Linked DNA regions of Callithrix jacchus. The protein of the gene in region 2 purifies or fractionates together with the protein of the main gene of each other region. This does not show direct contact. Links are inferred from orthologs where the notes say so. Each region holds a gene or a part of one and is shown on either strand. Other genes may lie near its edges. The genes, in order: RELA, PML, NDUFS1, ZMYM2, SQSTM1 and RARA.

Evidence for each region.
Region 1: the proteins of PML (region 2) and RELA purify together in Homo sapiens (affinity purification with western blotting; 3 studies listed by BioGRID, with this or other methods). This does not show direct contact. The link is inferred for Callithrix jacchus from reciprocal best matches to the Homo sapiens genes PML and RELA.
Region 3: the proteins of PML (region 2) and NDUFS1 purify together in Homo sapiens (affinity purification with mass spectrometry; 3 studies listed by BioGRID and IntAct, counting the BioPlex papers as one, with this or other methods). This does not show direct contact. The link is inferred for Callithrix jacchus from reciprocal best matches to the Homo sapiens genes PML and NDUFS1.
Region 4: the proteins of PML (region 2) and ZMYM2 purify together in Homo sapiens (affinity purification with western blotting; 3 studies listed by BioGRID, with this or other methods). This does not show direct contact. The link is inferred for Callithrix jacchus from reciprocal best matches to the Homo sapiens genes PML and ZMYM2.
Region 5: the proteins of PML (region 2) and SQSTM1 purify together in Homo sapiens (affinity purification with western blotting; 3 studies listed by BioGRID and IntAct, with this or other methods). This does not show direct contact. The link is inferred for Callithrix jacchus from reciprocal best matches to the Homo sapiens genes PML and SQSTM1.
Region 6: the proteins of PML (region 2) and RARA purify together in Homo sapiens (affinity purification with western blotting; 6 studies listed by BioGRID, with this or other methods). This does not show direct contact. The link is inferred for Callithrix jacchus from reciprocal best matches to the Homo sapiens genes PML and RARA.

Annotation. Positions count from the first base shown.
Region 1 is NC_133511.1:122,751,508-122,756,567, reverse strand, and holds the start of RELA (transcription factor p65), read left to right. Parts: upstream 1-1,627; 5' UTR 1,628-1,713; coding exon of another isoform or gene 1,714-1,720; 5' UTR 1,721-1,815; coding exon 1,816-1,852; intron 1,853-2,328; coding exon 2,329-2,355; intron 2,356-2,445; coding exon 2,446-2,597; intron 2,598-2,697; coding exon 2,698-2,846; intron 2,847-4,377; coding exon 4,378-4,469; intron 4,470-4,793; coding exon 4,794-4,925; intron 4,926-5,060. UniProt on the Homo sapiens protein: NF-kappa-B is a pleiotropic transcription factor present in almost all cell types and is the endpoint of a series of signal transduction events that are initiated by a vast array of stimuli related to many biological processes such as inflammation, immunity, differentiation, cell growth, tumorigenesis and apoptosis.
Region 2 is NC_133509.1:20,935,840-20,940,415, reverse strand, and holds part of PML (protein PML), read right to left. Parts: intron 2,961-4,576; coding exon 2,817-2,960; intron 2,378-2,816; coding exon 2,119-2,377; coding exon of another isoform or gene 2,111-2,118; intron 1,030-2,110; coding exon 977-1,029; intron 358-976; coding exon of another isoform or gene 1-357.
Region 3 is NC_133507.1:127,555,541-127,560,582, forward strand, and holds the start of NDUFS1 (NADH-ubiquinone oxidoreductase 75 kDa subunit, mitochondrial), read right to left. Parts: upstream 3,267-5,042; 5' UTR 3,162-3,266; intron 1-3,161. Other genes in the region: EEF1B2 (elongation factor 1-beta), read left to right, coding at 3,800-3,879, 4,376-4,498.
Region 4 is NC_133506.1:139,638,744-139,643,830, forward strand, and holds the start of ZMYM2 (zinc finger MYM-type protein 2), read left to right. Parts: upstream 1-1,998; 5' UTR 1,999-2,603; coding exon 2,604-2,644; intron 2,645-3,245; exon of another isoform or gene 3,246-3,697; intron 3,698-4,521; coding exon 4,522-4,590; intron 4,591-5,087. UniProt on the Homo sapiens protein: Involved in the negative regulation of transcription.
Region 5 is NC_133503.1:71,816,424-71,820,999, reverse strand, and holds part of SQSTM1 (sequestosome-1), read left to right. Parts: intron 1-618; coding exon 619-848; intron 849-942; coding exon 943-1,084; intron 1,085-1,900; coding exon 1,901-1,981; intron 1,982-4,576. UniProt on the Homo sapiens protein: Molecular adapter required for selective macroautophagy (aggrephagy) by acting as a bridge between polyubiquitinated proteins and autophagosomes.
Region 6 is NC_133506.1:92,950,766-92,955,988, reverse strand, and holds the start of RARA (retinoic acid receptor alpha), read left to right. Parts: upstream 1-2,145; 5' UTR 2,146-2,252; intron 2,253-5,223. UniProt on the Homo sapiens protein: Receptor for retinoic acid. Retinoic acid receptors bind as heterodimers to their target response elements in response to their ligands, all-trans or 9-cis retinoic acid, and regulate gene expression in various biological processes.

The DNA.
Region 1 (5,060 bases), on a different chromosome or scaffold from region 2:
CAGCCTGGACAACAAGGTGAAACCACATCTCTACAAAAATTCAAAAACTTCACCAGGTGTGGTGGTGGTGTGCTCCTGTAGTCCCAGCTATGCAGGAGGCTGAAGTGGGAGGATTGCTTGAGCCTAGGAGGTCGAGGCTGCAGTGAGCTGAGATCGTGCCACTGCACTCCAGCCTGGGTGACAGAGCTAGACCCTGTCTCAAAAAAAAAAAAAAGAAAAGAAAATACAGAATTCTGGATGGTGGTGGCCCCTTGAGTTTTGCAGTGGGTACACGGGTGTTTATAGCATTAATTTAAAAGTTATAAACATACATGAATTTTAAGAAGAGGATCCATGCAAGATTCAATGATAATTTTATGTCATTAACCAAAGATTTTGATTAATCCATTCTGCCACCTGAAGTCTGCCTCCCCCGCCCCCTAACAAAAGTAAACACTTTTCTAATCAGGGCCAGCCACTGGAGAAACTGAAATGAGTGGGCGGGGTGCTAACTCTATTTTCACTTTTCTCTTCCTGTTTCTTCAGAGCCTGGGAAACAAGTCAGAATTTCCAATCTTTTCCAATTCCCACATGATTTCCTAATTTAAGACGAATTCAGAGAAAAAATAAAGTCTTTCTCCATCTGGAGAAGACTCCGCCCCCTGCAGTGGAGCATCCTCTTTCGGGGAGGAGGTGTGGGGTGGGGGTGCGCCAGCCCCAGCCCCGACACGTACGCGGTTTGGTCTTGGGGGCGATACCGGCACTGTGGGGGTCACATGACAGAATTAGTGGTCAGCCCTAGCTAGAGGTCCAGGGCAAACGCAGGGGTGGGCGGGGGCGTCGTGACTCTGCTGATTCAAGTGTCCCCTGGGGGTCCCGGACCTTCTGAGACAAGCGCCAGGCTGCGGAGACAAGGCTCCGGGGTTTACCCCCGGGCTCCTCCTGCTCCCACGGTCGCTCAGGGTCTAAAATGCAGTTCGGCTGCATCTTAAGCTGGCTCTTTAGCGTGAGAGGGGCGAGCCCTCGGCCAGCTCGCCGGCGGGAGGGCCTCGGTCGTCCCATCCGGGCTGCAGGCTCTGCAGAGCTAGTCTATACTGTCAGGCGAGGAGGCCCGGCCGCTCCCCTTCCCCAGAGCCGCATCTAGATTGGGGTGGCTAGGACATTTTAACGTGCTTCTGAGACAGTCACCACCGAAAGGCGCCTTTAGCGATCAGGAAACCCGCGTAGACTTCAACCACCTGGCCTTTGCGGGCGCAGAAGGCCAGGCTTGGCCTTTCCCTGCGCGGGACGGGTGGCCGCAGCCCAGCAGCCCTGGCTTAGCTCTAGACCCGGCCCAGAGTGACATCACCAACTCCACCGATCGCGGGAAGGGGCCCCGAAATCCCCTAAAAATAAAGTGAGTAATCGACGGACACGCCCTCCAGGTGGGGCCGGGACTCGGAAACTAGCCCAGCAGCCTGCCGCGCCAGCCTCTTCGTCCCCCGCGAGGCGCGCACTTGGCCCCGGCCCCCTGCGGCGGCTGTGCGCGCGGCCTCTTCGTCCTCCGCGCGGCGCGCACTTGCTCTCGGCCCCTGCGCCGGGCCGCCGCGGTGCAGCACGCAGGCGCGGCCGGATTCCTGGCAGTGACGCGACGGCGGGCGCGCGCGGCGCATTTCCGCTTCTGGCGAATGGCTAGGCTGTAGCGCCCGCCGCGGGCCCAGCTGCGACCCCGGCCCCGCCCCCGGGACCCCGGCCATGGACGGTGAGGTCGCCCTCTGACCCCGCGGGGTGGCCGCGCCGGGGCCGCCGGGGCTGTGGCGGGAGCCCCCGCGCCGCTTTCCGCCCCTTCTTGCGCTGATGGGCGCTGCGCAGGGAGCGGCCTGCCTGCTGGATGGTGGCGCGGGGCGGGGCAAGCGGGGAGGGATCTGACTCAGTTTCCCCTCTGGGTGGAGGGGAGGGCCTTAACTCAGTATCCTCCCTGGGTGGGACAGCGGAGGGAGCCTTGACTCAGTTTCCCCCCCACTGTCTATGGGGGCAGCTCTGGCTTCGTTTCCTTGTTAGGGAAGAACGCATCTGATTCAGTTTCCTCTCTGGACGGAGGTGGGGCGTGCCCTCCCCCAGTTTTCCTTATGAAAGGAAAACTAATTCAGTTGCCCTCGGGAGAGGAAGGATTCCTTACCCCGTTTTCTCTCAAGAAGCAGGTGTTTCTGGCTCCTTCTCCCCACCCTTTAGTTTCACCGCCTGTTCTAGGGAACGGGTCCTGACTCCGTTCCCCTGGGAGGGAGCCTGGCTTCTCTTCGTGGGGAGCAGATTCCCCCGGTGAGGATGGGCAGTGGGTGTGTGCTGACCCTGATCTCTCTCCCCTTTCAGAGTTGTTCCCCCTCATCTTCCCGGCAGGTAAGTGGCCCCCGCGGTGGTCGGGGAGGTGCTCCCTGGGGTAGGGCAGCGGGGGCAGCCACCTAATGGGTCTGCGGTGTCCCCTGGCAGAGCCAGCCCAGGCCTCTGGCCCCTATGTGGAGATCATTGAGCAGCCCAAGCAGCGGGGCATGCGCTTCCGCTACAAGTGCGAGGGACGCTCCGCGGGCAGCATCCCTGGCGAGAGGAGCACAGATACCACCAAGACGCACCCCACCATCAAGGTCAGCATTGAGCCGGGGAGTGCGGGGTAGGGACTGCGAGCCCCAGCCCTCTGTTTGGGAGTCAGGTTTGGATGTCTGGGCTTCTCTGTACTTTGGACAGATCAATGGCTACACAGGGCCAGGGACAGTACGCATCTCCCTGGTCACCAAGGACCCTCCTCACCGGCCTCACCCCCATGAGCTTGTAGGAAAAGACTGCCGGGATGGCTTCTACGAGGCTGAGCTCTGCCCGGACCGCTGCATCCACAGGTGAGCTCCCTGCAGTCTAGGAGGCCCAGCCTGAGGGGACAGGATGCGGGCTGTGAGGTAGACGCTACAGTGTTACTCCTTTCTGGACACAGGACAATTTCTCACTCCTTGCTCTGACATAGTTCTGCAAGTAAACTCCCTTTGTTTTAAAATTATCATTTATACCTCTACTCTAGCAGATAGGAGCTCTAGGGGATAGGGATGGGTCCCTAATCACTTCTGAATCCCTGACCCTGTAGCTGGAAGGGGTAGTCCGTCAGAGTCATGTCTCTTGTTTGAGAAAGAAAACCATTGAACCAGTACTCTCCCCGGAGTTGACATTACAGTTGACAGAGACAGACTATAAAAAAAATATACAGGCCAGGCGTAGTGGCTCATGCCTATAATCCTAGCACTTTGGGAGATGAAGGCAGGAAGATCTCTTGAGCGTAGGAGTTCAAGACTAGCTAAGGCAACATAATGAGACCTTATCTCTACAAAAAAATAAATTAGCCAGGTATAGTGTCATGTTCCTATAGTCCCAGCTACTTGGGAGGCTGAGGTGGGAGGACCACCTGAGGTGGGAGGCTGAGGTGGGAGGACCGGCTGAGGTGGGAGGACTACCTGAGGTGGGAGGCTGAGGTGGGAGGACCACCTGAGCCAAGGAGGTCCTTGCTGCAGCAAGCTGTGATCATGTCACAGCATTGAAGTCTGAGTGACAGAGTGACACCCAAGTAAATAGCCTGGCACAGTGGCTCATGCCTGTAATCCCAGCACTTTGCGAGGTTGAGGTTGGCGGATCATCTGAGATCAGGAGTTCGAGACCAGCCTGACCAACATGGTGAAACCCTGGCTCTACTAAATACAAAAACTTAGCCGGGTGTGGTGGTGCACACCTGTAATCCCAGCTACTTGGGAAACTGAGGCAGGAGATTGGCTTGAACCTGGGAGGCGGAGGTTGCAGTGAGCCAAGATTGAGCCATTGCACTCCAGCCTGGGCAACAGAGTGAGACTCTGTCTAAAAATACATAAACAAATAAAATATGAATAAATACACAGATAAGTAAACAAGGTACTGTCAGAGTAATACTTTCAGTGCTGAAAATAAAACAAGGTCATAGGATGAAAGGATAACCTGGGGTCGGGGAGTGAGGGGAGCTAGTGTAATGACTAGATTGGGAGGTCAGGGAAGGCCTCCCTCTGCTACTGCTTGAATGGTGAGGAGGAGGAGAAAAGTAGGAAAAAGAACATTCCAAGCAGACCAAACAAGTGCTAAGACCTTGAAGTGGGAATGAGTGTCTTGTGTTAGAGAAGGGAAAGGAAGCCCCTATGGTGGTAAGCAGATGGCCCAAAGGGAGGCTGGCAGGGGCGGGGGCGCAGAGGTGCTTGTCAGCGGAGGGGAGGGACAGGGTTCGTTGCAGCATAGTGGGAAGCCACTGGAGGGGGTTAGGTATGGAGCGATGATCTGCGGGTGGGCAGGGGAGGAAGGAGCAGGCTGGGCAAGGCAGGAAGGTCCCAGCTCTGCAAGAGACAGGTGAGTGGGGGTGTTCAGTTTCCAGAACCTGGGAATCCAGTGTGTGAAGAAGCGAGATCTGGAGCAGGCTATCAATCAGCGCATCCAGACCAACAACAACCCCTTCCAAGGTAAGGGTGAACCTGCCTGCCGCACCCATACCCTCTGTCACCGTTCCCAGCCCGCCTTTCCTGCATCTCTCCCTCATTGGCCAAGACACAATAAAGATGGAATCTTGCTGCCCTTTCAGTACTCTCCCACTTTACCATTGGGAAACTGAGGCCCAGGAGAGGACATTCAGGGTCACAGTGGAGGCAGTGCTGGGTTCTGCCGTCTCTAGGACTTGTGTTTCACACATGCACCAACAGCCCTCCCAGCGCACAGCTCCCTGTCCCCACTGATAGCACCTATAACCCCCCTTCTCTTGCTCTCCTGATCACCTGTTTTCCTGGCAGTTCCCATAGAAGAGCAGCGTGGGGACTATGACCTGAACGCTGTGCGGCTCTGCTTCCAGGTGACAGTGCGGGATCCATCAGGCAGGCCCCTCCGCCTGCTGCCTGTCCTCTCTCATCCCATCTTTGACAACCGTGAGTGGCCAGGGAGCCACAGGAAGGGGAGAGGGGTGGGCCTGGATAAGGAGGAATGGGGTTGGGTTGAGTGTGACCTGCAAGAGGTGCTCTTGCTTCATTCAATCATCTTGCATATCCGTCTTCTTTTCTGTG
Region 2 (4,576 bases):
ACCACGTGGTGAGACCAAGTCCGAAGGGGGACCCGATGCAATCGAGGGTTCAAGTGGAGGGCATGGCGAAGGCGGATGGCTCTCTGTGCTCTGCACAACAGGTGACGGATCCCACGGTGGATGGCAGGGCGCTCCTGGTGATTGGCAGGCTGGCTCTGAGGTTCAGCGTCAGGAACCACAGCCTGCTCAGTGGGCTGGTGGGGAGGCGAAGCCGGGGGATGGCATGTACCACGCGGCAGGATGGAGGCTTCTTGTGTTCTCAGCAGGTACTGGGCTGGTGAGGACTGTGGCTCAGCGGTCTCCGTGGGCTCCATGCACTTTCCAATACAGAACCTCAGACTGAGGGCTGGAAGAGACCTCAGGGGCCACCCAGTCCATCCTTTCACTCTATTCAGATCCCCTTTTCCCCTGGACGGGTGATAGCCCAGCTCCTAGTAATAATCCTCCAGGGACAGAAGGGTCACTACCCACGAGGCCACTTGTTTCAGTGTGGAATGGATTTACAGTTCTTTCTTACATGGATAGAGTCAAACCTCATTTTCTTGGCCTCTATACAGCTCCCCCGTGGCCTCACACCCCTTCACTGGCCCCCACTGGCTGCAATTAACTAGGAAATGCATTCTTGTCCAGCCCTCCTCACTGAGGACTCAGAGGACAGAAAATGCATAAGGGAGCTCCAGAAAAAGGCCCTGGACATTCCGGAAAAGAGACGGGGTTCTGGATGCACACTATCAGCGTTTCAGAGGAGTACATATGGCTACTGAAGGCCCCTGCCCCGGTGTGGTGGGAGGGCTGGGGTGGTCCAGGCATGCGGCTGGCATTTGGAGACTGTTATCAGCACAGCTTGGGACTCACTGCCTCACTGGAAAATTGCCCAGGCGTAGGCAGATCTGAGAGTCACCTGCTGTGGCTATGCCCCTTGGGACCTGAAATGGGGGTAGGCAGGAGTCCTGGGCTGAACTTCTGGGCCACTCACCGAGTTTTCGGCATCTGAGTCTTCCGAGCTGCTGATCACCACAATGCGCTCCTCTGAAATGGGGAAGGGGAGCTGAATTACTTACTGCCTAGGACGCATAATGGGAGGGGTGTGGGTATGCACCTATGGGAATCCTTGCAGGCCAGTGCACTGAGGGCAACGGATACCCTGCAGGGCGACGGGAACACCCACTGTGTGTGCCAGTCTGAATCTGCTTTGCATTTGGATGTAATTCACAAATGGGTTTCCATCATTTCTTGCTGTACCTTATCTATGAATATTCAATTAAGTTATTTGCCCAGCAATCAGAATTTGCTCCCAGCACAGGAGGCCTGCACCACCTGGTTTGGAACCTTCTGCAATCCTAAAGCAGCACAGCGGTTTGGCCCAATTCTCAGCTCCATCAGCTGGGATGTCTAGAGTTAAAAGATGCCTCATTTAGTTAATCAAAACCCATTGATGACCAATAGCATTGGTGGGTAAGGAATATCAGTCAATGCTCAGTGTGTGACCAGGGCTGGGGCTGAGTCTGGGACCTAGAATGAAGAACAAAGCTGTAGTCTGGGTGAAGAGATCCAGGAAGAACTCTTGCTCCAGATTTCTCTGAGTTGGACCTCAACTCCTGTCCAGCTGACTCCCTGCCTGGCGGTGTCCACAGAGGATAACTCAGACAAATGAGACACTTGGTAGGTGGCCTTTGCAGCAACACCTGGGGAAATGATGGGTGTGGACTGGGAGGGCACAGTTAAGGTCACGGGGAGTCCAGTTTCCTGTGATGGTGTGCCCAAGCCCTCTGGGAGCGCACGAGGCATCTGCCAGCAAACATTTCTTGTGGAGACCTGTCCTGTGCAGAGGCATGGTGCTGGGCACTGTAAGATTAGTGTTTTGGGGAAAGGACTCACAGAACTGTGCATTTTAGCCTGACAGGCTCCCCACACCTTAATCACAGCAAAGCACGTGGTAACCTGTATCCACCCTCACCCCCATGCACACTGTGAACTTTCCCTGCCTTATTCAGTGGGAATAAGGGACTCCTGTTGGCTTTGGGCTTTCTGGATGGGGCCAAAATACAGAAGAGGGGGCCCACCCAGACCCTGGCAGACAGCACACAGGTCAGGTCACTCCCCTACCCACCTCCCTACCTGCCTCCCCGGCGCCACTGGCCACATGGTTGCTGTTGGGCAGGATGACCTCACTTCCTATGTCGGGGCTCTCGGCGCTGGGCAGCCCATCCAGGTGGGGTGGTGAGACTGCCTTAGAGGTGCTAGGCCTAGGCTGCTCGGGGGAGCTCCGAGCCAACCTCGCCTCCTTCCCCTCCTCAGATTCCATCTTGATGACCTTCCTGGGGCACTGGGTCTGAATGCTCTTCCTCTTCTGGCCTGTGGTTGTATTGGAGACCTCCTGCACAGAGGGAGTCACAAAGCCAGGTCAGCTGCCTCAAGGGGTGAGTGGGCACAGCCTGCCCTGGGTGCCAGGGCCTTGTGGCTACCCTTTTGCTCCTGTTGTCCCCTCTCCTCTGCTCTCAGCCATGCAGATGTCTCTCTTCAGACAGGAAGCCTTCCCAAGCTGGCACCATCTGCTGTCTACCAGTCTCTGCTGGCCTTTGACAGCCCTGAGTGTCTCAGCACCCCTGCTGTGCTGGGAGTGGTTCATGCTTATGGGGAGCTCCCAGATCAGGCAGCCGAGAACAGGGGACAGCATAGAGAAGGCGCTGAGCAAACACTTCCCCACAAACAGCTGATCTGATGAAGGCCTGGCTTCCCGCCCCTCGGCACCACTTCACTTTCCTGGTGGAATCCAGGCCTTCAGGAGGGGAGGCCAGGGCTGGGGAGAACCTTACCTCTCTGTAGGAAGGGCCTTTGATGGAGAAGGCGTACACTGGCACGGGGTGTGCCCCGGGGACTGACTGTACCACAGCCACAGGCTGGGCTTCAGCCAGCCCCAGGGCCTGGGCCTGGGCCTTCACTCTCTCTGCCTCCTCGGGCTGCAAAGTTGGGAAAATTGGGTCAGAAATGACTAGGCAGCAGCCCCAAGGCCAGGTACCCCAGACCTGTGGTTGGCCCAATACCTGTGGCTTACCCACTCACAGGTTCAGGCTCCCTGACTCAAAGCTCCGAGCTCACTGGGGACAAGAAGTCCTCCAAACTCTCTATCACATCACCTCCTTCTTTAAAGAGAAAAAAACTGTAGAGACAGGGTCTCACTATGTTGCACAGGCTGGTCTTGCACTCCTGAGCTTGAGCAATTCTCCAGTCTCGGCCTCCCAAAGTGCTGGGATTACCCGCATGAGCCACCACACCTGGCATCACCTCCTTCCAACTCTGAGTTACTGGCGCCCAGGGACTGCTTTGGTTCTTGAGTGTTGTAACAGGGCTTGAAGGTACCCCAGGAATCGCACTGCCCAACGCAGGACATGCTCAGTAACTAGCCCAGCTTACACACACACCTCCAGGGACACACCTCACTACTGGTGAAAGCAGCTCCTGTAACAGTGAGAAAATCCTCCCGCTGAGCTGAAACTGGCCTCCCTCGGACCTTACCTCTGCCTCTCAGCCTTAACTCTACCTGGGTCAGCTACTACACAAGTTGGATGAATTGCTTAAAACTTTTTGGGCCTCTGTCCTGCTCTGTAAAATGGGAATAATAACATCTATCTCATATGGTAATGTGGATGAAATGTGTTAATACAAGTAAAATATGAAATACCTGGCACTTCGAAATGCCATTGATAATGATACATTGATAATGCCAGGCACGTGCTGAGTGCTTTGTGTACCTATCTCCAAATGAAATAGAGGCAGTTCCTTAAAAAATTAAATGTAGAATTATCATATGACCCAGCAATTCTACCCCAGGTATGTACCCAAAAGCAGGGAAAACAGATGTTTAAACAAAAGCTCGCAGGTGAATGTTCAGAGGAGCACTATTCACAATAGCCAAAAAAAGGTAAAACAATCTAAATATCCATCAACTGATGAGTAAATAAACAAAATGTGGTATAGCCATGTGATGGAATATTCTTCCGACATAGAAACATGGATGAGCCTTGAACGTATTACGTCAAATGAAAAGAAGCCAGCTGGGCATGGTGGCTCACACCTGTAATCTCAGCACTTTGGGAGGCTGAGGTGGTGGATCATTTGAGTCCGGGGGTTCCCGACCAGCCTGGCCAACATGGCGAACACCCATCTCTACTCAAAACACAAAAATCAGCTGGGCGTGGTGGTGCACACCTGCAGTCCCAGCTAGCTGGGAGGCTGAGGCGTGAGAACTGCTGAACCCAGGAGGTGGACATTCCAGTGAGCTGAGATTGTGCTACTGCACTCCAACCTGAGGGACAGAGTGAGACTCTGTCTCAAACAATAATAAAATAATAATAATAAACTAATTTTTTTGTAAAAAGCCAGACACAGAATATACATTGAATAATCCATTTACATGCAATGTCCAGAGACATGCATGTAAATGGATTACATGCAATCCATAGACACAGAAAACAGACTGATGGCTGCCAGGAGATGGGGGAGGAGAAATGGGACTGACTGCTTCATGGGTAAGGGGTTTCCTTTTGAGGTGATAAAAATATTCTGGGGCCAGATA
Region 3 (5,042 bases), on a different chromosome or scaffold from region 2:
AAGTGATTCTCCTGTCTCAGCCTCCCAAGTAGCTGGGATTTACAGGCTCCTACCACCACCCCGGCAAATTTTTGTATTTTTAGTAGGACGGGGTTTCTCCACGTTGGCCAGGCTGGTCTTGGACTCCTGACCTCAGGTGATCAGCCTGCCTCAGCCTCCCAAAGTGCTGGGATTACAGGTGTGATTCACTTTGCCCAGAACATTTTTGTATTTTTAGTAGAGATGGGGTTTCACCATGGTGGCCAGGCTGGTCTCAAACTCCGGACCTCATGTGACCCACCCGCCTCAGCCTCCCAAAGTGCTAGAATTACAGGCATGAGCCACCATGCCCATCCAAGTTACCAAAACTTCTAAACTTGTTGGTTTTTTTTTTTTTTTACTTGATCACATAGGGTAAGCACTGACCTTTTTGCCTGTTTGCTTGATCATATAGGTTAAGCAAAATCACTTGGAACTTCTAAAGGTATTAAAAATGCAAATTGGCCAGATGAGGTGGCATCATGCCTGTAGTCTCAACACTTTGGGATGCCACCTCGAGGAGTTTGAGATCAGCCTGGGCAACACAGCAGGATTCCATCTCTGCAAAAAAAAGAGATGGGTGTGGTGGCATGAACCTTTAGTCCCAGCTCCTCAGGAGGCTGACCTGGGAGGATGGCTTGAGCCCAGGTGTTCAAGGTTACAATGAGCTTTAATCATGCCACTGCATTCCAGCCTGGGAGACAGAATAAGATCCTGTCTCAAACAACAAAAAACAAACAAGCAAAAAAGGAAGCAGCAAATTATATGATTAGAATGTATTAAAAAAAAATTTCGACAGTAAAGTTTCAATACTTGCAACAGTATTATTGGATAACAGTGCATATACATTGGTTTTAAGCACAAAATTCTGCACACTTATCACAGATGATGTACAACAGGAAATGTCATTAATTCAACATTTCGTTAATTAAGAATATGTGATACTGAATTTGCAAACATCAACTCTGTTTCCTGCTAGCGAGTAATTTTTGGTAAATCAGTTACTGGTTCTTTACTTACAAGGCAGGAGGAAAACAGTACTTCCTAGACTATGAGCTATTAGTAGGAGCTCAATAAATGCCAGTTAAAGCTGAATTCAACTTAGGCAGTACTGGTGGCCACTGACAATAAGTTTCTGTGTGGCTTTTTTTTTTCTTTGAGACAAGAGTCTCGCTCTGTCACCCAGATTGGAGTGCAATGGCATGATATCAGCTCACTGCAACCTGTGCCTTCCAAGCAGCTGGGATTACAGGCACCTGCCACCATGCCTGGCTAATTTTTGTATTTTTAGTTGAGACAAGGTTGGCCAAGTCGGCCAGGCTGGTCTTGAACTTTTGACCTCAGGCGATCCACCCACCTTGGCCTCCCAAAGTGCTGGGATTACAGGTGTGAACCACCACAGCCCACCGACAATCAGTTTTAAAGGGCTCTTTGTGCCTTTTCTTTAGTACCAGTACACACTGCATATTTATTTTTATCATTCCACTTACTAAACTGTAGGTTAGTAATCAATTTTAGTACCTATCAGACTGTAAGCTCCTTGAGGACAGAGTTTGCATATTTCCCTTCCTGAAGACCTAACACGGTATCACCAAGTTCTAGAAATGAGTAGCATCTGTCCTATTAAAAACTGATGGCATATGTATATTGTAAACCAAAACTTGCTGCATTAGAGCATTGACAGATTTGAAATCAACAATGAGTATTTCATTCAATTTTAAAACTTTAATACTATTTAAAATACGATATAACAATAGTACTCACTTTAGATAGGACATCAACTAGAACTAGGCTGTTGACACTAACATCAAAGCATAGACCAACGTAAGAAACACAGATTTGCAACACTTCCATATGTGCATTGAACACCAACATACCAAGTAGTAACAGAAATATTTGTCTCTGTAGATGGAAAAATGCTAATGACCAATCATTTCTAATACTGGACTGGATAACTTTCCGTATAGGGGCCATACTATTCCACGTTCTCCAACATGGATCCTGCATCCATCCAAGGTATACCCTATCCCAATCCACCATCATTCCTTGCCTGGAGTATTTCAATAGCTTCTTAACAGGTCACCAAACTTCCACACTGTTCCCACACAGCCCCTCCCCTCTTGCCACCGCTGTAACCTCAGACTGAAATGCTTTTCCCTCTCATCTTTCGGGCCACTCCTCATCCTTCACATCTTGGCTTAAAAACTTTCTCTCAAGGAGATTTTCACTGTCCAGCCTATCTAACACTTCCTGACGATTCCCCAGTCATATCACCTATTTTATTCTTCTTTACGAACGTATTCTTGGCTCGTAAATGTTCAATAACTGTTAAGTGAACTGAATCTCTAATTTCTGGCCGTAACTTGCACAGAGCACTTCCCCGGATTTAAAAAGTGCAGGTGCTCTGGCAGCCTTAACTCGGTGAAAACAAGAGTATTCCGCAAAACAAAAATAACTGTTTACTTATCAAAAGTTACCGTTACACTTCTATACTGTCAATTCGTGTGTGAAGCGTTGTGCCTGATTCAAGATCTTACAGTATAAGCATTAGATCCCAAGAACGTGTAAACAACGTTTTGTTATTCGCAATGCAATCCTGGGCTAACTTTTCAAAAGTCCTTTTTCTCAATTTCCCCGCCAGTGAAAGGAATAAAATGCTGTCCAACGTGGTCAATGGACAAAACAAAATCAACAAACAGAGGCGTGAACGAAAACGCAACAGCGACTAAACAATCAGGCACTGTACCAGCTGTGTGGAAATCTGGGGGGACAGGCTCGGTCTTAACGCCTAAGTCATCGGACACTAGTTCTCTCCTGGGGAACAAAACGTCCTCCTCCTCTGAGAGGGCAATGTCCTGAATTTTCACTGCAGAGGAAAGGTCGCCTGCAAGCGTGCATTCGGGCCAGCGTTCCCAAGTGTCCCCTGATCCTCCTCTTCCTTTCTGCTTCATCAGACCAGACTCCGTGGCTAAAAGCCCCCACATGCCGGTTCTCAGGGGCTTCTGAGGCTGCGGAGCGGGAGGCGGCGCCCCAGTCAAGGACAAGAGAAGAATAAGTCGCGTGGGCCAAAGGAAACAGTCCCGTCAAGAAATAAACCCCTGGCCGAGACGCACCTCACCCTTCCCATCCATACAAGACCTCACCTTCTCCCCGGAGCCGCGAAGGCTGTTTGCTAAACTGTCCGGACCACAACGACCCTTCGGAGACCGGGTCGCTCACTTAATATGGCGGCCTCAGCTAACTCTGTCACCCGGGCCTGGAGAACGGAAAGCCCGGAGGGACTAGAATCCTCGCATTCGACAAGTCTGTCGGCAATTTCCGTCAGCCGACCCGAGGGCGGAGCGGAGGTCGGCCCAGCAGGGAGGCGGGAAGGACAACTTGGACCCGCAGTTCCGCCGGAAGTGGCCTGTAGCCCCGTGGCCGAGCGTCTTTGGTCATCTCCGGCGTTTCAAGGGGTGGTTCTCGTTATCTTCCGGAGCTGTGGAGGTTCGAATTTAAAACATGCCAATTTTATTAATTTATTTCCAAACGCAACGAAGGGTCCAGGGACAATTTGTGGGCCACTTAATTTAGGGCCCCCAATTCGTACGTGGAGAAGTGAGAATGCCAACGTACTTTGACCTTTAACCTTTGGTCGGGATCGGTGGAGGGAAACGCCTCCGTCTCTATATAAGGAATTTTCCGGCCTCTCTAGGCCCTTTTTTCTCTTTGAGCGCGGGGTGCTGTAAGCGTATGCTCTGTCTCTCTGCTGCTCCCCAGCTCTCTTGATACAGCAGACGTCATGGGTTTCGGAGACCTGAAAAGCCCCGCCGGCCTCCAGGTGCTCAACGACTACCTGGCGGACAAGAGCTACATCGAGGGGTGAGCGGACGGGCCGAGACGGGATGGTGAGGAGGCTGGTCGGACCCGGGGCCACGTGGGGCAGCGTCGGTTGCCCCGGGAGGGAGGGAGGATGAAGGGTTAGCGCCTCTCCTTGCCATCTCCCAAGGCCCGCGTGTGGTGCGAGCCCGGGCTCCGGGGAGCGGTTCACTAGCAGTAAAAGGTTGAAATGTACTTTATTTACACTTAATTCAGCCAGGTGTCGCCGTGTCGCTGCCCAGTTAGTAAAATATTGGACTGTAGATAGAGCAATGCTAGAGATTGCAATCGTTGAGGTCTACTAAGTGGGAAGACATTTCTCAGGATAACGTGGCGACCCAAGGATGGTTTGATTTTAAGGAGCTGATAAGAAAAAAAAAAATCATTAAAGCACCCCTGCCGGGGCTAGTGCCCACTAATTAATGTGATGCATACAGCATTATTTTCGCTGGCGTTTGTCTTTCAAAGGTGTGTATGAACGTTTCTGTGTCATTGGCAGGTATGTGCCATCACAAGCAGATGTGGCAGTATTTGAAGCAGTGTCCGGCCCACCGCCTGCCGACTTGTGTCATGCCCTACGTTGGTATAATCACATCAAGTCCTATGAAAAGGAAAAGGCCAGGTAAAATCATCTTTGTGTCTAGCTGAGCAATAAGGCTGCTCTCGAAGTTAATCAGGATGTTCACATGACAAAACTGGACCCAGGCTACTTTAGCTTTGTTGGGATATTATGAGCTAAATTTTTCAGTAACCTTAGAAGGCCAAGAGACTGAAGTCCTCCATTTTTTCACAGAACAGGTAGAACATGGACAACAGCAATTCAGCTTTTCCCCACACTGCCCTGCCAATGTGCCTCGACCCTGACCTGGGGGGCCCACCTCTGGGGTGAGAGGGTGGCTCATTCATTCAGTCCTTGGCCATTCTTCTGAAACTGCCAACAAGGGTGGAAGTTTGGGGAAGTGGACTGCATTTCACTAAGAATGGAACTGAGCATACTTAATGAAATTTCAAACAGAAATGTGTATACTGAAAGAGTAAATCGTAGTGAGTATTGAAAATCCTGTCTCACATGGGACTAATGTTTGTCGAGTGACCAGTCGAACATATGACAGTGTTTACCTGGGAGTATGTGAAAGGGTAAGTTATTGCAAAAGGGATCTAGTGAT
Region 4 (5,087 bases), on a different chromosome or scaffold from region 2:
AACTTTCTGAGGTTTTGAGTGGCTAAATATTTGAAATACAAGTCTTTTGCTCATGTCTTCCAGTTGCCTCTTGGATGTCTTGTATGCTTTTTGACAGGTACAGAATAGTTTTACATACACACAGATGCACACACATGCAGGCTTTTTTTTGAGACTAAGTCTTGCTCTGTCGCCAGGCTAGAGTGCAGTGGCTCAATCTCCGATCACTGAAACCTCTGCCTCCTGGGTTCAAGCTATTCTCCTGCCTCAGCCTCTGGAGTAGCTGGGACTACAGACATGCGCCTCCATGCCCAGCTAATTTTTGTATTTTTAGTAGAGATGGGGTTTCACCGTGTTGGCCAGGATGGTCTTGATTTCCTGACCTTGTGATCCACCTGCCTGGGCCTCCCAAAGTGCTGAGATTACAGTCATGCGCCACCGTGCCAGGCCGTACACGCAGATTTAGTTGTGGATTTATTGAGATATAATTCACATATCACGCAAGTCACTCATTTAAGGTATGTTCAGAGGTTTTTAGTATATTAGGAGTTGCGCAATCATTTCATTAAATTGTAGAACACTTTAGTCACTCTATTAAACAGCCTCATAACTTTTAGCTAACATTTCCTACTTCCCACCCCTCCAGTTCTGGGTAACCACTAATCTACTTTCTGTCTCTACAGATTTCCCTATTCTAGACATTTCCTGTAAATGAAATATTTTGTGGTATTTTGTGTCTTCTTTATTCACTTATAACGTCTTTAAGGTATGTCCATGTTGTAGCATATATCAGAACTTCATTCCTCTTTATTTCTAAATAATATCCCATTGTATGGATGTACCACATTTTGTTTATCCATTGATCAGTTGATGGATATTTTTGGGATGTTGGAAACTATGAATAATGCTGTTTCGAACATTCAAACATTGATCTTTAAAATTACTTTTATATAAAGTTAAGTCTGCTTTTAATATTATGAGAAAGACTTTTTTCCCTAGTTCGAAATTCTCAACTAAAATCCTCCCTGATATCAGACCAGCAAAGCAGTGAACAGTTTCACGGACAAATGTACCTGAATGAATTTTTTTTAAAAGTGAATAATAAATACTATATTTAGCACTGTTGCTCATTAGTTATATAAAACAGCAATAATGCTAGGGAATTAGTAGCAGCATAGCGCTCCAATTGAACACTGCGTAGCAACGCAATCTATCGTTTATCACAGAGCTTATTTGGAAGTAAGTCTACTTTACTCTTCTAAATATAAACTCAATGAGCTGAAGCGACTGCAATAGGATCTGGCAGCAGAAAAGGTATGGTGTAAGTTTTCACCGAATTGTTACAATTTGGTAGTAGAGAATGTTTCTGTTTTGATGATAGTGACTGTTTTTGTTGATGTTTATGTTGTGATGATAGTTTTTCAATCTAAAACAGTACTGTGTAATATAAAATCTTACATTTTAGTGTATTCAACACTCAACAATTTTAGTCACGAAAGTTTCCTAAAAATCAGTGATACTTTTTGAAAAGCTGGTTCATGTACATTTTGTGAATATTTTCCAATAAAAAAGAACCGGATATTCAAAGTATTAAGTCCAAGGTAGAAAGCCTACTTAAGTGTTTTTTTTTTTTGCCAATCAGTTTGAGCTTATGAGGTTGCTCAGGTTAGCCTTGAACTGATGACCTCGCCTTCGTGAGCGCCATGACCTCCGGCGGGAGCCACTTTGGACCCCCTACCTACTTAGTTTTAACTGATGAATTTCAACTTCTACTAGATCATCCTCTGTAAGTTATGTCTATTAGTTTACACATCAGGCTTTCATGGATGATTAACTTCACTAAAAACTTCACGTTCATCAACAGCGTGTTGAACTTGAAGCTGTTTTATATCTGTTTATTAATAGTCAATGGTGTCAGATAAGTGAAGTTGAGAAGTTGCCCATCCATTTGGGTGGGAAAATAACCAACATCAGTTGTAATCCCACTAAGAACCGCCAGGGCGAGACGAAAGCGGCATTGCTTCCATCTTTACGTGGTCTTGGAAATGGTTCAGCACCATGACGTCCGCCGAAGACGTAGGTGTAGACGAGGAACAAAAGAGAAGACCCCTCGTGGAGGTGGCCTGTGGGACCTGCCCTCCCCGGGCGCCGTCTGTCCCTGACTCCGCTCCCCCCCCCGGGGGCCGCAGCGGGTGCGCCCCGCGATGGAACGGGCTGTGTGTGGAGGGAGCCTCCATGGAGTCTCCATCAACCGTTGAGGACCAGGAGACGGTGACAGGCGGTGGAGAGGCCTGGGCAGGGCCAGCGCCCCGAGCTGCGGAGCAGAGGACGGCGGCGCCCAGGGACGACCCAGGGCGGGCTCCGGCCCCTCCAACCGGCGGGAGCCCAGCTCCAGGGGAGCCCGCAGCTCCCTCCATCTTGGTTGATGGAGGCGGGGAGCGTTGTCTGGGTCTCTCCACCGTCGCGCCCGTCCCCTACGGCCCCGCGGACGCAGACGCCGGCAGCCGGGGCTGTTCCCTTGGCCGAATGGCAGAGCCCAGTCGGGGCTTCCCGGGGACAAGTTTCCCGGCCCCACGGGGTTTGGTGTTGAAGGGGTCCTAAGTTCCTACAGCCGTTCCGACAAAATGGAGGACGTCGTCTCCTCCTGCTGCAGCCATGGCGGGAGGTGGGGGACTATTCCCCACGGGGCGCGGAGAGGGTGGAAGGGCCTCCACTGCCCCCAGCGCGCTCAGGGTTCCACTTCACCAGCGGCCCCGAAAGCCCACTCGGCCCCACTCCAGCGCCTCCTCGGCCTCGCCCCTCGTGGGGGCCTTCAAGGAACTGGACAGAGAGGGCGTTGGGGCATCGAGGCCGCGGCTCTCCTCGGGCAGAGGCGTTGAGAGCCGCTCCGCGGCCTGGGCACCCGGGCTCGGGCGAGGGCAGGCGGCCCCGCCGGAGTTTCCAGGGCTGTCTAGGTACCGGAGAGCCACGGGCCCCTAGGGTCCGAAGCGAAGCTGGTGCGGCGGGCAGTGAATCTCCGGCTTCTGACCCTGGCGGACCCTATGGGTGGGGGCGGGGGACCGGCGGGGAGGGGACGCGGCCGGGAGTCGAGGGCCGGCGGAGGCGGGAGTGGAACGGCAGGGCCGGGGGTGTGGCGTGCGCCTGACGGACAGCCCTTCGGACCACCCCACCGAGGGGGGGTCCTGAAGGACGGCCGTCATAGCCAATGGGCGTGCCAGAGGTGCCCCGGGCCGCCTCCTCCACCAGCCAACGAGCGCGCGGAGGGCGGGGCCTCCCCGGGCTCGGCCGCGCCGCCACCTCCTCCGCCTCCTCCTCCTCACCAGCGCTAAAGCCGGGACTGGACCGAGCGGAGTTGTGCGTGTCGCCGAAGGGGGGTGGGCCGGGGGAGGGGAGGTTCGTTCCGCGGAGCCACAGCCAGAACCGGGTGAGGCTTATCCCCGCTGTCTTTCCAGTCCAGGGCCGCCGAGAGTGGGGGTGGCTGGGAGCAGCGCAGCCTCCGGAGGAGGAGGCGGAGGCGGAGGCGACTGGGGAGGCGGAGATGGGTGAGGGCAGCCTCCAGAGCCTCCCACCGACCCAGGATTAATACCCCGCGGCGCGGCCGCCGTCGCCGCTGCCGCGTCGGGGCCTCGGGGGCAGCTCGGGGCTGCTCTCATGTCACAGGCGCCTTTGCGTGCGGCCCGAGGGGCTAGGAGAGTGCGGGCGAGGCCGGGAGGGCTGGGTGAGGCGGCCGCCAGCGGCGGGGGTCGCGGGGCCGGCGGGGCGGCGGGGCCGGCGGGGCCGGCGGGGCGGGGGTGCGGGCCGCCCGGGGAGGTCGCGGGGCATTTTCCTTTCTCTCCTGCGGGGGGCGGGGGAGGGGCGCCCCGGCCGGTTCTCCGCTCTCGGGGCCGTGCTGCCACCCGGTCCGCCAGAGCTGAGGTCCCCAAGTTTTTCGGGGCGAGAGCAGCCGCCTCTGCCCCGCCGGGTCCCCTCCTTCGCTCTTCTTTCCCTCCGCGCTGCGCTGCGCGGCTCTTGCTCCGCACGTATTGTTTGGCTGGGTCTCTAATGGCGGACGGGGAGGCAGCGCTGCCGGTCGCCGACTGCAGGGGGGGGCAAACCTCGGGCCCAGGGCAACTGCTTGGGGCAAATGTGGGCGATATCGGCCCAGCGGTGACGTGAGCCGCCTCTTACCTCTGAATTGGTACTTGGAGTGACGGGGATGAAGCTGGGTGGGCAAATTTAGGAGGGAATACAAATCCCTTACTGGCGTCGAGGCAACGTTTTCCCTTCCCCCCTCCCTTCCAGGAGCAGGCTCGGTGTCCTCAGGCCCCCCTCCCTTCCAGATTTTGCTTTTCACAAGGGTTTTGGCCCCAGATATATATTTTGCGCTGTTTTGCCCCACTTACGCAGGAGGGGGCTGTTGTGCGCATGGTGGGGGTAATAATAGAAGGACCGAACCTCCTTGACCTCTTATTCCCTCCTCTGCCTCCTTCTGGCAGAAAGGGTTGGGTTCTCCCATCAGGTTCTATGTTCTTGATACGTTTTTCATTTTTTCTCCTATCCCAGGACCAAGAATCGCCTTCAACCTTGTCTGGTGCATCCTTGGCAGAAAGTGAGGAGGAAAACACCCCCATTGTGAGTCTTTTGCCCCCAGTTTGTTGCTAGTAGAGGACATTGTCAGTTTGTAGGGGTTCAGCCATGGGACCTGGCCCTCCCCGTTGTTTTGAGGGGGAGGAGCTTTCCCTTGGGTGGCAGCTGCCCCCAAGGCGAAGCCTGGGTAATGGCTGGTGAGGCAGCTGGGAGTGGGCGCTGCTGTTTCCACCGCTGCAGACATCGCTCCTGCTGCTGCAATACCAACCTCAGCAACCAGACGACGGGCTTCTGCAGCTGCTCACGTTACCGGGGAGGAGGGGTGGTGCGAAGGAGGGCATATTTCTAGTGCCCTCTAGAGTTCCAAAATGGGAATTAAAGTTATTTCTTGTTGAATGCTATGCATGCAACCTTAACATTTTTTCTTCCTTAAACAATGGCTAATTGATTAAATGGATTGGAAACATAGAAATAACCATTATATTTTTGTTTATGTCTGTTGGAAACACAAATTTTGACCCAAGGCTCATAAGTTGCTAGAT
Region 5 (4,576 bases), on a different chromosome or scaffold from region 2:
CTGTAATTCCAACACTTTAGGAGGCCGAGGCAGGCAGATCTCCTGAGGTCAGGAGTTTAAGACCAGCCTGGCCAACATGGTGAAACCTTGTCTCTACTAAAAATAGAAAAATTAGCTGGGCATGGTGGTGCACACCTGTAATCCCAGCTACTCAGGATACAGAGACAAGAGAATCACTTAAACCTTGGGGGCAGAGGTTGCAGCGAGCCAAGATCGCACCATTGCACTCCAGCTTGGGTGACAAAGTGAGACTCTGTGTCAAAAAAAAGAGAGACATAATAAATGTTGTGTCTGACCTGAGAAAGAGGAGTCCAAAGAGGAGTCCCCCTAGGGATGGGGTCTGGTGCTATGGTGCGTGGGTGAAGAGCAAGGCCAAAGGTGTGCAGACAGGGTCCCTTGCTGCTGCTCTGCTGCCTGGGCCACATTGCCCAGGTAACAGACACAGGGACTGGGAACCTCCTAGCAGGTTCTTGGTTGCTCTGCTGTCCTCACCTAAGGAGCTGAATTTTGTGTGGACTCCATGCTGGAATGCAGGGCCAGGGGCCTTGCTGGTGGTGAGGATGGATGGGAAGACTTTAGGGGGCCCCACTCCAGTGGCTCTTTCTACCCTCCATGTAGAGAAAAAAGAGTGCCGGCGGGACCACCGCCCACCATGTGCTCAGGAGGCGCCCCGCAACATGGTGCACCCCAATGTCATCTGTGATGGCTGCAATGGTCCCGTGGTAGGAACCCGCTACAAGTGCAGCGTCTGCCCAGACTACGACTTGTGTAGCGTCTGCGAGGGAAAGGGCTTGCACCGAGGGCACTCCAAGCTCGTGTTCCCTAGCCCCTTCGGACACCTGTCTGAGGTGAGCAGGTCCTCCGTGTGGGCCTGGGGTGGGTGCAGGATGGCAGGAACCCTGACCTGCTCACTGCCTGCCCCTCTGCTAATTCTTCCCTCAGGGCTTCTCGCATAGCCGCTGGCTCAGGAAGCTGAAACACGGGCACTTCGGTTGGCCAGGCTGGGAGATGGGCCCACCAGGAAACTGGAGCCCACGTCCTCCTCGTGCAGGGGATGCCCGCCCTGGTCCCACAGCAGAATCAGGTGGGGCTTGTTTTGGAACTGGCTTCTGAACGATGACTGTAGTCAGTCAGGCAGCCTGTGTGCAATTCAGGGCACCTCCCCGCCTTCCTTCCCCTGAATTCCTCTGTGCATCTGTGTCCTACAATCACACAAGAACCCTGCAAAGTGGGGAGTATTCTCTGTGTTGCCCAAATGGGGAAACTGAAGTGCCCAAGTGCCTGAGGCCACAAATTCACCTGCAGAGCCCTTCCCATCTCGGGAGGCTGCCCTCTTGAGGTGCCCGAGGTATAGGCAGGGAGGCCTTTCCTGCGCCGGGGTCTCTGCTGTACTTTGTTCTCTTTTGTGGTAGTTGTCAGGAAGATCAGAGCCAAAGTTGCTAAAGTCCTTTTAAACATAGTTGTAAGTTAAGACTTACCCTTAGCTTTGCAGTATAGATTTTTGGATTCTGATTTTATTAATCTTACTGTGTCCTGTGAATCACCTCACCCTTTGGGACAAAGATAAGGATGTTTGCTTGACTTTGAGTAAATAACACATTTACTCAAGGAGGTGGTCAATATTTATCCACAGTGTTCTGAGCGTAAGTCTCTGTGGGGTTACTGAGCATCAGGGTCACAGAGGAGGGGGAGCAGCACAGGAGGGTGGAGAGGATCATGGTGCAGGGGCAGGGGCCAAAGAGTGGGAAGGAGGAGAGAGGGTGCTGAATGGACTGCTGGACAAGATGTCTGGGATGAAAGTTACCTGGGAACACAGGAACCTTGGCAAGAAGGTGACAAGACTGTAACAAGTATCCAAGGCAGTAAAGATGTCTTTATTTTATCTTTGTGAAAATCAAAGCTTCTGGTCCATCGGAGGATCCCAGTGTGAATTTCCTGAAGAACGTAGGGGAGAGCGTGGCAGCTGCCCTCAGCCCTCTGGGTGAGTATACCTTCTTGCCCAGTGCTTTCCTAACTCAGCCTGCACTTTATGTAAGGTTCACCCGGAATGCTGCAGAGGAATGGGTAATTGACATATCCTTGACACTGGTGAGGCCTCATGTTAACACAGGTGCTCAAGGTTGAATTCCCTGACAGAATTCTCAAGCTTTCTACACGGAGTGAAGTAGAATCAGCCGGCATTTGGTTGGGAAAATCCCAGTAAGGGAGGGTGACCAGGCTCTGGTTGCAGGGTCTGCCTGTCACCTCTGACTGCTCTCCTTTGGGTGAAAAACAGTCTGCATTTTCCCCTAAGCTGGACCTTGGGATTTGGACTTTTGAGGATTTGGGTAATAGTTAGCTAAGATGCTATTTATCCTTTCCTTCTTTTAGTTTGCAACCCCCAAACTTTCCTGGGTGCTTTTGAATGCTGGGCCTGCATCAGAGGCGGGAGAAGGTGGAGGCAGGTGCTCTGGGTGACACCCAATTCCGGTGCCTCAGGTTGCACAGTGGGTCTGCTGGTGTGGGTGAACCCCAACGTGTACCTCCAGAGTGGTGCCATCTGACCCCAGGCATGAACCTAAGGTTCTGAGAACCCTCCCTGGTGGGCTTTAGAAAGTACCTGTTGTGTCTAAGGGTCTGGGGCAGAGCATGCAGCAGTAAGAAGTAAGAATCAGCAAATGAAGCCAACTTTTAGTTCAAGATGATGGTGGATCTGTGATGGCAGATGGATTGCTGGGACACCTGCATCTCTCTCTAGAAAAGCGAGCTTATCTTTGCAACTGTAGTGGCCGTCTCTGTCCATCTAGCCTGTCCAAAGGTGTTCAGTGTCTGAAAGAATGCTGCTAGGAGGGGTGTCTGAATCCTGTCTGCCACCTCCTGTGGCTACAGGGCATGACTGCCATTTCCAACTCTGCTCATTCTGATTTTTTCTTTTTTGAGACAAAGTCTCTGTCACCCAGGCTGGAGTGCAGTGGTGCAATCTCTGCTCACTGCAACATCTACCTCCTGGGTTCAAGCAATTCTCCTGCCTCAGCCTCCTGGGTAACTGGCATTATAGGTGCCAGCCACCACACCCAGCTAATTTTTGTATTTTTTTTAGTAGAGATGGGGTTTCACCACGTTGGCTAGGCTGGTCTCAAACTCCTGACCTCAGGCAGTCTGCTTGCCTTGGCCTCTCAAAGTGCATGAGCCCCCGTGCCTGGCCTTACGTATTCTGCTTTGAAGCAGCAGTGACATATTGGCATTGTTGCTGAACTAAACAGCCCAAATACATGGGGCTTCTTTACTGGAGTCTAGAGGCGAAGTCAGAGAATAGGAAAGAAAAATTGCTACTTTTTTTTTTTTTTGCGATTGAGTTTCACTTTGGTTGCCCAGGCTGGAGAGTGCAATAGTGAAGTCATGGCTGGGTTCAAGCGATTCTCCTGCCTGAGCCTCCTGAGTAGAGAGATTACAGGTGCCTGCCACCATGCCCAGCTAATTTTTGTATTTTTAGTAGAGATGGGGGTTTCACTACATGTTGGCCAGGCTGGTCTCAAACTCCTGACCTCAGGTGATCACCCGCCTCAGCCTCCCAAAATGCTTGGATTACAGGTGTGAGCCATCGTGTCCTGCCAAGAATCGCTATTAATGCTTTCCAGGGAGGGGAAAACAGTGGAGCACTGAGATTATGATTGAGATATACTATGCCTAAACCCTGCTGCTTACTCTGGACATAGTAAAGTTCTGACAGACTGCAGTGAATTTGGAGGTATGAACAAGAGTCTTTCAAAGAACAAAGGAGATATCCTTTGTTCACAAAACCAAGTCTAGGTTCAGGTAGAGACTTTAAGACAGTGCAGATCCCCAGGCCTTAACCTTTTTTGATCCTGGTAAATGGGTGTTGGTGGGGCCTGGGGATCTTTCTGGGAGGCTGCCTAGGTGCTTGGGGTCACACTGTCCCAAGATCCACCTGTGCTGGTGCAGCATCTCAGAACTGAACTGGATGCCCCATTTGGCACAGACAGGAATAATTTTGCAAGTGCTCAGAGGTCTTTGAGCACTAAAGGCTAAAGGTTTAAAGTGGATAGAATTGCTTTTTCCTAACTGAGGAGAAGCCTGGAGCTCTACAAACAAGGAACATTTTAGTAAAATAGACTGAGTGGTTTCAGCTGAGGAGAGCCAGTCAAGGAGTGGCTTACTCTGTTGTGGAAGTTAGGGCTATTTTCTTTCCTTTCTTTATGAGGAAGTATAAGCAGGATGACTCACAGGTTAACTGCCTAGAAGGAACTGTTTCCAGAGCAGGGCCCAAAGGGGAGTGAGTCAACAGCAGCCTCCCGGTAGCAGTGTGTGTGGGGTGGGCGGCGGCTTTCATGTGAAGAGCCAAGGCCTTTCAGAGCCACCACTGAGACCCAGGCTCCTCCTGGCTGGTAGGTTGCAGGCCCCGACATCCAGGACATGAAGCCACAGAGTCCATCCTGGACATGATATCTTTGATAAACACACACCCACATGCAGAGGCTTTGTGGGGCAGCAGGGCACGGAGCATCGTCCAGTTTTGCTTTTTTTTTTTTAAGTGAAAAGCAAGTTTCTTAAGAAAGTAAAGTAATATAAAAATGGC
Region 6 (5,223 bases), on a different chromosome or scaffold from region 2:
CTGAATCAGCCTCACTCCCTTTGATCCCTCCTCTGTTTCCCACACTGCCTGAAAGAGCTAGATCAGCACTTTATAACAAGGGTGCGCCTGCTCCCCACACCGCCCCCCTCTCCTGACGCTCTCTGCTGCCGCCATCCACTGCTTGTCTCCTTCAGTTAAGATAATGAAGATGCTGAGAGATAAAATGTGTATTTAATAAGGGTGGGGGTAGGGAGGCAGAAAGGGGCAACCAGGGCCTTCCCTAGTTTGGGGCCTCGCCAAGACTTAAGCTGAAAGCAAAGCTAGAATAAGACTTGGCCCCAGGGTGTGGGGGTTTCTGGGCCTCAATCCAGCTGACTTCACTGCCTGCTGTTTGCCCTAAATTCCCCCACCTCCACCCTCTCAACCCCACACTGCTTTCTTCTTGCTCCCAATGGGAAAAAGGACTCTTGCTTCGGCTTTCTTTTCAGCTGGTAACTTGGCCTTTAGTGCGGTGCCCCCCACCCCAGTGTCAGCTGCAAGGTCGAGCTAGGGCAGCCCCCTCTAGCCTAGGCCTGTAGAAGCTGTGGGTTCACAGTGGGGGGTGAAAAAGCTGGAGTTAATGAAGACCAGCTGCTAGTCTAGGTTCTGCCTACAGCTAGCTGGAGGCCAGCCTTTGGTGGTGGTTGATGGGGGTGGGGTGACCTCCATCCATGGGCACAAGGATATCCTGTGGCAGCAGCGAGGCTTGTGCTTCTCTGAGTTTAGTTTTATCCTTAGTTTGTAAGAGAGTAGTCTATTTCCTTCTCCCCTACTCCTCTCCCCAAATAACACTCAGCTCTTACTGAACTTTATAACTAGTGGTGGCCCAGCTGAGATCTGAGGATCTCCAAACCCTTTTGTAAACACTCATTAACTGCCTGGGAAGAACGAAGAGCCCTGTTTAACAGCTGGGAGAGAACTGAGGCACATTAGGGTGAAAGGCTTGACCTAAACTCACCCCATGGACTCCACCCTGGGGCCTTCCATCCTAACTTCCCAGCTCCTTTTCTGAGTTCTTTCTGGAAGACAAAAAGAGGTGTGGAGGCATTGCTGGTGTCCTCTCTTCTAGGGAGAGGCCATGCCCTCTTCTTTCAAGTCTGTCCCTGACTTCCTCTGGCCCTTATGACATTCTCCCTGATCTGCTGCTAGAGATATGTGCAACTCTCCTTGCAAAATGTTCCCAATCCACAACTTCAGAATTCTTATCCACCTTTCTCTTGCTCATCTAGCCCGCCAAACCTGAATTCTCCCTTTGAGCTATTGAGAAGATTGGCTATACTAAACTGAAACAGTGACCTTGAAGTTGATCTATTGTTTTGAGGTCCCTGTGCCCCTATATTTATCCAGAATGGTACATAGGAAAATATTCTCTCTTTAACTTGTTTATTTTGGTCATAAAGATTCGGACCTTATTGAGGGCTGGGTAGGGGCCCTAGTTGACCTCTAGGTTCTGCATCCTGTTCTTCCACTGACAATTATCATCTCCAGTAATAGATGTAGCCCAAGGTCCTTTTTTGTTTTTTCTTCTTCTCTAACCGCACCTGCTTTTACTTTTGCCTATATAAGTATATTTGCAGACCCCACACACCCAGATACACACAAATTGGTCCTACCTGTTTCCAGCTGCCATCTAAGTTAGCCTGCACTTTTTACAGGCTGAAAATCTGTTTTTTTTCCCCCTGGATGGCCTGCCTCCTAGGCACTTGAGAATAATTGGGAGGGATGAAGAGACTCCTGCAGTCCACAAGGAAGAGGACAGAAGTGAGCATCCAACTAAAAGGAATGCTCCCTTCTCCAAATTTCTAGCTAAATGCCTCAGCGGGAGTGGCAGGAAAAGAGTTCTTAACCCCACCTCTAGCACCAAAACCTAAGTCCATCTGCTCAGGGCAGCCAGGAAGAAATGTCTATTTTCTCCTGTTTTATGTCATCCTATCCTCGTTATCCATATGCTGTGTATTTGATACTGGGAACTGTTCCCGTCCCCAGCCGGTGATCAGACCCCCATCTTTGTTCCAGTGCGTTATTTCTCCCCCATCAGTCCTCCACTCTGCACCGGCTGACCCAGTCAGGGCTGGTGTAATTGGGCGGGGAGAGTCTTCTGTTTGGCGAGTGGGCTTTAGGACCCAACGGGAACCCGTGCCTCTTGCAGCAGCCTAACCCAGAAGCAGGGGGGAATCCTGAATCGAGCTGAGAGGGCTTTCCCGGTTCTCCTGGGAACCCCATCGCCCCCCTGCCAGCACACACCTGACCAGGTAGGACCATGCACACCCCTTCCCAATTCTTCCTTGGCCGCCTTTGACTGGCCTCTGCTTCCGATCTAGCCGTTTCCCTCTCGTCAGTTCTGGCTTTCCCCATCCCTCCTCTCCTGTCACTCACTGTAGTCCTGCGAGGTGGGAGTCTCGGAACAGTAGGGTGTCTGAAAGCTCAGAGCCCACTGCACCCTCCAGCTCCTTTCCCGCATTTCTCCTGAGGCAGTCCTCGTTTCCTAGCTAAGAGTGGGGAGTAGGGGGAAGGTCTGCCCAGGCCCACGCCCTTGCACCCTCCTTTGCAGTATTGCCTAAAACCCCTTCCCCCACCTCACCTAGACTGGAGAATTGGCAAGTGCTGGGGTAACAGAGAGGACAGAGCCAGAGAGGGACCTGAGCTTTCCTGAGGGATTTCTTTCTTGCTTCCTAGCCCAAAGAGCTCAGGACGTTGTCCCCAATCCCTACTCACCTTGTAGGGGAACTAATGTCCCTTTCCAGGTTCATTGCACACCTGGGTGGCCAAGGGCTTTGCAGGAAGCTAGTGGAGGTTGTGAGCATTTTGGTGACCTTTTCCTCTGGGAAACTTCTTTCAGCTTAGAGCCCCCATCCCTGTCAACATCTCAACACCTTCTGCAGAAGCGCTCCCCCCTCCCCCCCACCCCCGACCCCTGTGTGCGTGTGTTGACAATGTGGTTGTAAGATCTAGAAGCTTTGGATAGAGGTGGCTGCAGGCATTGAAAGGGAGGGATACCAGAGTGTGGCCAGGCTAGAACAGGCTCAGTCCAGATGGCTAGGGAAGGGGGTGTGGACCAGATTGAGGAGGTCACCCAGCCTTGCCAGCTCCCTGAGCTCCTTTGCTTTCAGTCTCAGGCTCCTGGTGTTTCTCTAGAGCTATAAGGTCCCCGAGCTTTTGCCCCCTGCCCCCACATGCTCTCAGAGAGGGCTAGATGGCACCTACTGTTTACAGTGGCGTATTTTCTCCTGTGGTGGGCAGACAGGCCCTGCTCTCTGATGATGATCTAGGGCATGCCATTCTGGTTTGGTGGGTTTATAGGAAGGGTGTACACTGTCTGAGTTACCGTGTGTGAGTGTATATCTTGCTTCTGGGGGTAGTAGACTGGGGAGGGGGTGATAGAACAGACTGGTCACACTGAGAGAACTCCTCTAGTTCTCAGTGTGTGGTAGGGGTGGGTTGCATGTCCCTGTCTGGTAGCTGTGTCTAGGTGTGGGGTGTACTCTGCATTCTTCCATGGCTCCCCGGGTCCCCTAAGGGTTGGTTTTGGAGGACAGGGTAGATAATGGAGTGGCTTCACACTTTGTTCTGGTCTTGATCCAAGAAGGAAAGTAGAGATTCTGAGTGTGAGCAGTGGACTGGGAATCAGAGGCCTGAATGGAGACTTAGCCTGGTTATTTAACTATGTGTGTTTATGTAGGTCTTCCCCTGTGCTAAGTCTCAGTTTCTTCATTTGTAAAAATGGCTATCAGCAAGCAGGTCTGCCACCAAGACCCCACAGATAATGTATTGTAAAGCTCAGTCCAAATGGTAGTAATGGCTGGGGGGATCTAGGATGGAATCCTCTTCCTAAATCTAGGTCAATCTCTCTGCCTTCAGTTTTCTTCCCTCATCCTTTACCCATCTGGGAGATGGAGGAACCAGGCAGGGCTATTGCCCCGGGTACTGCAGAATTCCCCTGCAGGTTGTAGCTGTTGCCAGAGCACCTGTGGTCAGAGAGTACAGATCTCTCCACCAGGCATTTCTTCCTCTGGGGCCCCATACTTTCTCCCCTGAGCCATGTCTCCACCTTCCTTCTGCCATCCCTGCTTGGCGTCCTTGTCTCTCTCTCCCCTGCCCAGTGGCCTCCTTGTCCGGCTCACTGGGCAGGAGCCCTAATCGGATTCGACAGCTGAGATATGTGTGGCGGCTAAGAGCAGGCGGGAGGGAAGCCAGTGGGAGGATGGTATGAGGACTGCCCCTGGCACTGCCCCGGCCTCCCAAGCACCACCTTGGGCCTGCTGATTTCTTACTTGGCTTTGCCCCAAGGAAGGGGTGCCAGAGGAAGCTCAGGAATGAACAGGCTGGGGTCTGGAGACTAGGGGAGGAGGAAACACACCAAGGTCTTGAGGACCTCGTTGATATTTGATGGCCTTAATGTCAGTATCTCTGACTCTGATAAGGAGGAAAGGACAGCGATGAGCCAGGCGGCCCTCACCCTCGCCACCTCATTCCTATAGCCCCACTTTCTTTTCTCTTCTTGTTCAGAAATGTGTTCATTTTGCCTCATCTAGCCCCTTTGGTCAGTACTTCCTTATGGATCACATCTGGGAGCTTCTGGGGGTGCCACATGTCTGCCTCAATCTGGGCTGTTTCCTCCCCTTCAAGGTATTTCACTCTCTCTGGGCTGGGTGCCAGGACTCCTGGGTTTCCCGCCTGCCTGTGGTGCAGGGCTCCCCTGCAGGGCTCCAGAGAGTCGCTTAGCTGGTTTCCTTCCTCCTGTGTGGGGAGGGCCTTCCCCTAGGGTTGGGAGGTGTCAGGAATCCCAGGTGGGATGGTGTGGGGGCACAGTAGCCTCTGGCACTGTAGCACCTCAGCTTCTTCCTCCTAGCCTCTGACTCAGCTTGGGGGCAGCACATGCCCAGCCTAGCAGGCATGGCCTATTCTTGCCTCCAGGCTTCTGTCTTTATAGAAGCCTAGATCTTCTCCCATTTTTAAGCGTTTTTTCCCCCATGGTATCTGGGGGTGGCTATTGAAATCCCTGTGTTTTGGGGAGCAAGGGACTAACATAATTGAGGCTGGGGCACTATTTTGTCTTCCCTCCAGCTGGGCCAGGATGAAGGAAACTGTCACAACTTCCCCATGCCAATTCCTTCTGCCCTCAAAAGACCAGTCAGTGGAGCCAGGCCCTGCCCTCTGGGTGCCCACAATGTGGTTGGCACTGATTTGTCAGAAATTGGGAAGGTTTCCCTCTAGACCACTTGC